Macaca mulatta: one gene and its partner. The protein of the gene in region 2 interacts with the protein of the main gene of each other region in a pairwise test. Links are inferred from orthologs where the notes say so. Each region holds a gene or a part of one and is shown on either strand. Other genes may lie near its edges.

What was found. The genes of interacting proteins can lie anywhere in the genome.
Region 1: the proteins of EGFR (region 2) and RET interact in a protein complementation assay, tested with the Homo sapiens proteins (3 studies listed by BioGRID and IntAct, with this or other methods). The link is inferred for Macaca mulatta from reciprocal best matches to the Homo sapiens genes EGFR and RET.

The regions. Positions count from the first base shown.
Region 1 is NC_133414.1:55,566,710-55,570,353, forward strand, and holds part of RET (proto-oncogene tyrosine-protein kinase receptor Ret), read left to right. Parts: intron 1-777; coding exon 778-1,019; intron 1,020-2,235; coding exon 2,236-2,431; intron 2,432-3,644. UniProt on the Homo sapiens protein: Receptor tyrosine-protein kinase involved in numerous cellular mechanisms including cell proliferation, neuronal navigation, cell migration, and cell differentiation in response to glia cell line-derived growth family factors (GDNF, NRTN, ARTN, PSPN and GDF15).
Region 2 is NC_133408.1:73,467,981-73,472,253, reverse strand, and holds the start of EGFR (epidermal growth factor receptor), read left to right. Parts: upstream 1-1,339; 5' UTR 1,340-1,600; coding exon 1,601-1,688; intron 1,689-1,827; exon of another isoform or gene 1,828-1,883; intron 1,884-2,239; exon of another isoform or gene 2,240-2,379; intron 2,380-4,273. UniProt on the Homo sapiens protein: Receptor tyrosine kinase binding ligands of the EGF family and activating several signaling cascades to convert extracellular cues into appropriate cellular responses.

The DNA of each region.
Region 1 (3,644 bases), on a different chromosome or scaffold from region 2:
GAGTTGTAGAGTGGCGATGCACACTAGGCGGTCAGAAATCATTATGCATTAATGTCACATCATACCCCAGATGTCCACCGTGTTTGTCTTCAAGTGGTAGAATCGTGGCTTTATTTCTCACGTTCTCTAAAATGAACATATACATAATTGAAAAAAAAAAACTAACATTTTTTAAAAAGCAGCCAAGGTCACCAATATGGTGAAACCCCGTCTCTACTAAAAATACAAAAATTAGCTGGGCGTGGTGGCGGACGCCTGTAGTCCCAGCTACTCGGGAGGCTGAGGCAGGAGAATCGCCTGAACCCGGGAGGCAGAGATTGCCGTGAGCCGAGATGGCGCCACTGCACTCCCGCCTGGGCAACAGAACGAGACTCCGTCAGAAAAAAAAAAAAAAAAAAAAGCAGCCAAGGCCAGTAGCTGGCTCTCTAGGGCCGCAGTGCAGCTTGATCTGACCCGGAGCCACCCTTCCCCACACAAGGTCACTTCCGATCGAGGCCGGGTGGACGGAGGGGTGTCCCAGTCCCTACCGGTTGCTCAGGGTGCTGGTCCCCGCTCTTCCCCACCAGCATGAGTGAGGACGCAGCTGCAGCAGGACGTAAGCGCAAACTCGTGTTCGGAGTGCTGCGCTCACCTGTGGAGCGGAGGAGGGGAGGCCTGGGTCCTCGGCTGGCGTGCGGTGTGCGCCCCGCTCTGACCGCAGAGCCCCCTTCCCGAGAAAGGCGGCTGGCCCGGTCCCGGCTGGCGATCACGCGGGGCCCCTGTCTGCTTGGTGCGCAGGTGAGGGTCTGCCCTTCCGCTGCGCCCCGGACAGCCTGGAGGTGAGCACGCGCTGGGCCCTGGACCGCGAGCAGCGGGAGAAGTACGAGCTGGTGGCCGTGTGCACCGTGCACGCTGGCGCGCGCGAGGAGGTGGTAATGGTGCCCTTCCCGGTGACCGTGTACGACGAGGACGACTCGGCGCCCACATTCCCCGCGGGCGTCGACACCGCCAGCGCCGTGGTGGAGTTCAAGCGGAAGGAGGTGCTTGTTCGCGCGTGCTGTGGTCTACCCAGTGTCTGTCTCCCGCCGCAGTTCGTTTCTCTGTCAGTTTAGTGTCCGTGTAGCCACCCAATCATGTGGCCGACCATTCACGCGTTCATTTGTCCTTCGTCTCCGTCGGCCCCCTCTGTCCTAGGGGGAGGAGAAGGGGGAGTCCTGTCAGCACCCAGCGGGGCCTTGCCTTGGGAGGCTGGGAACCCTGGGTGCCCAGTCTGGGACTGACCAGGATGAGGCCCGAGGGCTCGCGACTGGGGCACACTTGTGCCGCTGCAGGCGGGCGCGGCGCGCTGCCCGGGCGGGGAGCATCTGCCGGGAGGGCACTCCCTCCCACCAGCAGTCAGCCCCCAATGGGAGGGCCATTGAGTGACCAGGAGCGGTGCCGGGGATTGGAAAGGGACAGGAAGGCGGATCGCCGCCTGCCCGGCCCCGCCCCGCCCCTCTCCGGTTCGCGCTGATGGAGCGCCACCGCCACCTGCTGAGCCTCAGGCCTTCCTGCAACCGGCCCACTCCGCCGGGGCCGTGGGAGAGTGGGCGTGGGGACTGAGGTAGTGCGTTACCTTGTGCCGCTTCTCTGGGCACACCACGTGCAGGTTTGGCAGGGAAAGGAGGTCTGACCGAAAGTACACATTGTGAGTAAAGGCTGTGTGGGCCTCCCTGGGCCGCCTAGGGGTGACAGCAGAGGCCTGGTGCGCAGAGCCATCCCAGGTGCCCCGCGGCTTTCCTCACAACCCCCTCCAGCCTGGGGGAGGAGGATGCTTCGAGCAGAGTGCTTTGATGTACACCTGGCCTCGGATCTCGGCTCTGCTATCTGTTCCTGTGTGACCTTGACCTGACCTTCACCCTGTAGGGCCCAGCTTCCTCAGGGGAGAGTGGAGGTGCTCATTCTGCTCTCTAGGGACCTTGATGGGACCTGCCAGCAGGGTGCCTGGGCATCAGCTGTAATTCTCCCTATAAGAGGTCTACATTGCACCTGTTACACAGAGGGTCAGTGGCTCAAGGAAGGTGACTGGGCCAGGCTGGCCAGTGACCCCGTGGGAACTTGAATCTAGGTCAGACAGTCCCCATACCTGGCTCTGACAACGCACACCTGGTCCACCTGTGGGCTGCGTGGGACGTGCAGCATCCTGAGGTCTCTGGTTTTGGGGGGTCTGAGGGGCCACTCTCACCTGCACTGACCAACGCCCTCTGCATCCTGCAGGACACTGTAGTGGCCACTCTGCGTGTCTTCGATGCAGACGTGGTACCTGCGTCAGGGGAGCTGGTGAGGCGGTACACAAGCACGCTGCTCCCCGGGGACACCTGGACCCAGCAGACCTTCCGGGTGGAGCACTGGCCCAACGAGACCTCAGTCCAGGCCAACGGCAGCTTCGTGCGGGCGACCGTACATGACTATAGTAAGAGGGGCTGGTGGCATGGCCTGGCTGGGCCCCCAGGAAATGAAGTGCTCGTTCTTCATGGGCAAGCAGCACCCCACACACATGCACACCTGTCATGGCCCTCAGTGGCCCAAGCCACTTCCCCTCCACCCTCTTCGAAGCACTTCCTGTGTCTCTGCCAGGCCTGCCCTCCAGCCACCAGCAGGGCTTTCACCATGGGTCCTCTCTCCCTGAGCTGCACCATGGCCGACCCTGGCAGGGCCCTACCACACCCCCATGCTAACCTCGCCAGGGCTCACCACTGATTGCAAACATACATGTCACCTGAGGCTTTCCTCCCGCCCCTGGCACTCCATCATTGCCCCTAAGGTATCTCAAATGCTTAGGGATTATTGCTCCAGCCTTATCAGCTCTCTGCTAAACAGTCTGGTATACAGAAGCAGCCCTGAGCCAGGTCAGGGCTTCTGAGCCCATTGTCCTGCCTGACTCCTGACATGTGCCACCATGCTCACCTGCTTGCAGGGCACCTTTCAGCTGAGGCCTTGCTTCCTGCCTCCCTCCCCCACCTCCTGCTGATTTCTCCTGGGATCGCCTTCCAAATAAACCACCTGCATTTGGGGTCTGTGTCTGGGGGAACCCCGGGCCATGGGTCCTTCGCCCCTTTCTGCCTGGCCTGGTCCTGTTCATTCCTCAGTCCTCCCCACCTCACCAAGCCTATGGACGCCCCACCTGTCAGAAGGGAGACAGCCTCCTTGCCCTGGCACTGAACACCCTGTCTGCCAGAGTGCCCCTCCCATCATTGTTTCCACCGCATGAGAACTAGAGCGGCAGCACGCGGCAGGTACACGGACGGCATGACTTCCAAGGCTTGGCCTGCAGGGTCATTGGGTCTGCTGGAGGCTCCTGCAGTGGAGGGGAGTTCTCCCATGCTCTGGGGAAGCTGTTTGGAGGGCTCTAGCATGTTCTTCCCAGGGCCTTGGTAATGCAGACCTTTAAGCCCCCATGTCACACACACACATACACACACACACACACACACACATACACACACCCTGTTACCCCCAAAAAACGAAACTCTGTAAAACATTTTAAAGAGGTTTATTCTGAGCCAGGATGAGTGACCACAGCCTGGAGAAAACACAAACCCAAGAAACCTTGAGTAAGTGGTCCCCAGGTCCAAGGTGGTGGGGTTACAGTTTGCTTTTATACATTTTAGGGAGACAGGAGTTAT
Region 2 (4,273 bases):
ATCCAGGGACTGACTTCAACGCACAGTGGCTGTACTGATCCGCTAAAACAAAGGAACAAATTACTTCTTCTAATTCACAGGGAAGTTCCAGGTTGTACGGGTGGTGAGGAGCCTTGTGTCTGTCTGCGCTTGCCGTGGTGAAAAACCCACCGTTCAGGCTGCAGGGCGTGAAACCCAGGCACAAACACTTCGCTGGATGCGGAGGAAAGATGCAAGGTTGCTCCCCTTCAGAGACAGCAAAGGGCAGATCTGTAGCTCTACTTACTTCAGGATTATGATTTTTGACAGAGCCGGGAGATCAGGGTTGTTGAACCAGGCCTGAAGGTCCTAGTGAATCTCGTGAAGAGAGGAGGGGTCTGACTGTAACATGGACCTAGAGGACATTCTTACTGCAGGAGAAGCAACAGTGGGGATGGGGTGGACTTGCCAAAGGAATGTAGCTCAAGTTCCTGCAGCCTAAAGCAGCTCAGTTTCTTTCGGCCAAACTTTCGCGAACTTCCCTGGCATTTCTCCTGCGGGAGCTACCGGTGCAGTGGGACACTTAGCCTCTCTAAAAGCATCTCCACAGCTGTTTGTGTCAAGCCTTTATTCCAAGAGCCTCACTTTTGCGAAGTAACGTGCTTCACACATTGGCTTCAAAGTACCCACGGCCGGTTGCAGTAAACATTGAGGAGGCCTGTCTCTGCGCCCAAAGTTGGGTGCTCTCATTTCAGACGATTTCTAGGGTGCTTCACGGGATCTGAAGGACCCTCGGACTTTAGAGCACCACCTCGGACGCCTGGCACCCCTGCCGCGCGGGCACAGCGACCTCCTCAGCTGCCAGGCCAGCCTCTGATCCCCGCGAGGGTCCCTGGGTGCTGCAGGGGAGGTGGGGACCAGAATAAAGGAGCAGTTTCCCCGTCGGTGCCATTATTCGACGCTGGCTCTAGGGCTCGGCCAGTCTGTCTAAAGCTGGTAGAAGTTTGTTCTGTAAAACAAAAGAAGGGAAAGGGGGAAGGGGACCCTGGCACAGATTTGGCTCGACCTCGACATAGGCTGGGCCTGCAAGTCTGCGGGGACCCAGTCCAGAGGGGCAGTGCTGTGAACGCCCCTCACGGAAATTAACTCCTCAGGGCACCCGCTCCCCTCCCGCGCGCCACCCCCTTCCCGCGGGAGACCGGGTCCCGCGGGGGTCACCGCTGTCCACCGCCTCCGGCGGCCGCTGGCCTTGGGTCCCCGCGGCTGGTTCTCCTCCCTCCTCCTCTCATTCTCCTCCTCCTCTGCTCCTCCCGATCCCTCCTCCGCCGCCTGGTCCCTCCTCCTCCCGCCCTGCCTCCCCGCGCCCCGGCCCGCGCGAGCTAGACGTCCGGGCAGCCCCCGGCGCAGCGCGGCCGCAGCAGCCTCCGCCCCCGGCACGGTGTGCGCGCCCGCCGCGGCCAAAGCGGCCGGAGTCCCGAGCTAGCCCCGGCGGCCGCCGCCGCCCAGACCGGACGACAGGCCACCTCGTCGGCGTCCGCCCGAGTCCCCGCCTCGCCGCTAACGCCACAACCACCGCGCACGGCCGCCTGACTCCGTCCACTATTGATCCGGAGAGCCGGAGCTTGCTCTTCGGGGAGCAGCTATGCGACCCTCCGGGACGGCCGGGGCCGCGCTCCTGGCGCTGCTGGCTGCGCTCTGCCCCGCGAGTCGGGCTCTGGAGGAAAAGAAAGGTAAGGGCGTGTCTCGCCGGCTCCCGCGCTGCCCCCGGATCGCGCCCCGGACCCCGCAGCCAGCCCAGCCGCGCACCGGCGCACCGGCTCGGCGCCCGCGCCCCCGCCCGTCCTTTCCTGTTTCCTTGAGATCAGCTGCGCCGCCGGCCGGGACCGCGGGAGGAACGGGACGTTTCGTTCTTGGGCCAGGAGAGTCTGGGGCGGGCGGGGGAGGAGACGCGTGGGGCACTGGGCTGCGGGCCGGCGGGGAAACGGCCGCCTGGACCTCCGGCGCCCCGAACCGCTCCCAACTTTCCACCCTCACTTTCCCCGCCCCGCTGCGCGGAATCGGCGTCAGTGGGCGAAAGCCCCGTGCGGGTGGGTGCCTGGGGCCGGGGTCCCGCACGTGCGCCCCGCGCTGTCTTCCCAGGGCGCGGCGGGGTCGCGGCGCGCACCCGAGGGACTGGCGCTGCCCACCCGCCGAGGCTGCGCTGTTTAGGGAAGCTGAGGAAGGACCCCGAAAATAAAGCCTCCCTTCGGACCCCGCGGGACAGGCGGCTTCCTGAGCGAACCTCCCTGCCTCCGCGCTCCGCGCAGGTCTCAAACTGAAGCCGGAGCCGGCCAGCCTGACCCCGGCCCCTCTCCAGGTCCCCGCGATCCTCGTTCCCAGGTGTGGAGTCGCAGCCTCAACCTGGGAGCTGGGAGAAGTCCGCCACCACCTGCGGCGCCTGGGAAGGGGTGGTGCTGGCGGCGGTTAACTTCCTCGTTGGCAAAAGGCAGGTGGGGTCCGACCCGCCCCTTGGGCGCAGACCCCGGCCGCTCGCCTCACCCGGCGCGCCCTCGTCTTGCCGGTCCAGGTATGCCCCCCACCTCCTGGGGACCCGAGCTCCCTCCCGGGCGCCGGCGCAGAAAGGCCCGGGCTCTCGTTCGGTGGCCGCCTCGCGGGGACGTCCGGGTCTGCCCCACCTGCAGCCCTTCGGTCGCGCCTGGGCTTCGCGGTGGAGGGGGACGCGGCTGTCCGGCCACTGCTGGGGGGATCGCGGCCTCTAGTGCGGAAGCCCAGGAAGCAGAGCTCATCCTGGCCAGCACCACGGTGTTTCAAAATGGGGCTCACAGCAAAGTTTTCTCCTCAAAACCCGGAGAGTTTCTTTCTTGGATGTTTCTTTTTGCTGTCTGAAGAATTTGACATTGAGCCAACCAAAATATTAAACCTGTCTTACACACACACACACACACACACACACACACACACACACACACCGGATTGATGTCCCTGGTTCAAGTGTGCCAAGTGTCCAGACAGAACATGAGCGAGTCTGGCTTCGTGACTACTGACCATAAACCCACTTGACACGGGAAACATGCCTCGGAAGGTTTAATTGCACAATTCCAACCTTGAGCTGCGCGGGTTCCAAGAGCCAGGCCCGTACTTGCTGTTGATGTCACTGGCATGGGGAGTTGGGGTTTGGTGCCCAGCGCGGTCGTTGGGGGAGGGGCAAGACATAGAACAGTGGTTCCCAGACCTTGCTGCACGTTAGAATTACCTGGGATTAAAAAAAAAAAAAATCAAAACAAAAACCAGTGTCTGAATCCCGCCCCCAGACATTCTGATTTAATTGGCATGGGGCAAGACCTGGACATGGGATTTTTTTTTTAATGCTTTTCATGTGATCTGTTGGGGAGCCAGGTTTGGGGATCACCGGACGGAAGAAGGATTGTTAAAGTCTCCGGAGAGATTACTTGCCAATGCAAAGAGCTCTTTGAGGACATCTGGAATTTTAACAATGTTGCCAAATATAGGAAAGAGGGAAAAGGTGGGGTGTGGTTCCAATAATAAAAGATTCCTCTTTTCATTGAAGGAACTGGTGGAAAGGTTTCTTCTCTGCTGAGCTTGCAGGGCCCCTCCTGCCTGCTTGGGGGCTGACTGCGGGTCCTGTTAGTCAGGTGTCAGCCCTGTCTCTGCTGAAGAGACTCTTCTCTTTATTTTAAATTAAACCCTCAGAGCACCTCCAAAGCATCACTTTTCTCCCTCCAGTGGGGTTCTCATTCTTTGATGTTACTTGCTTGAACACCACTGTTAGTGATTGGAGATTTGTTCCTGAGAAAAATATAAATACCACTTAATTTGCCTGTTTATCCCGTATTCACTCAAAACAGAAACTCCTGAAGACAGAGAGAGTAGGTGAACAGGCGCTATTCTGTTACAGTAACATAAAAGACTGAATTTTCAGGGGCAAATTATTAAAGTAGGAGATGAGCTCTTTTAACAGAAATTTGTTTGAGACCTGTGTCTATCAAATTCAGTCGATTTTATTCAAGATGCACTTTGTTTAGTAAGGGTTTTGTTTGGTTCTGGGACATGCTAACTTCTGGACTTGCTGCTCTTAGACGTAATGACTGCCAGACACCGTTTCATGCGTCCTAATCCCCACATTAAGCATAAGAGGTGTACACTCTCCTCCTATGGGGGAAACTGAGGTACAAAGAACTAAAGTGACTTTCCCACCGCTGGTAGGAGGCAGATGTGAAACTCACACCAGGGGCTTCCGACTCCAGATCCCTCTCTCAACTTCCAAACTCCACTGCCTTGTCCGAGTTCAGGTTTC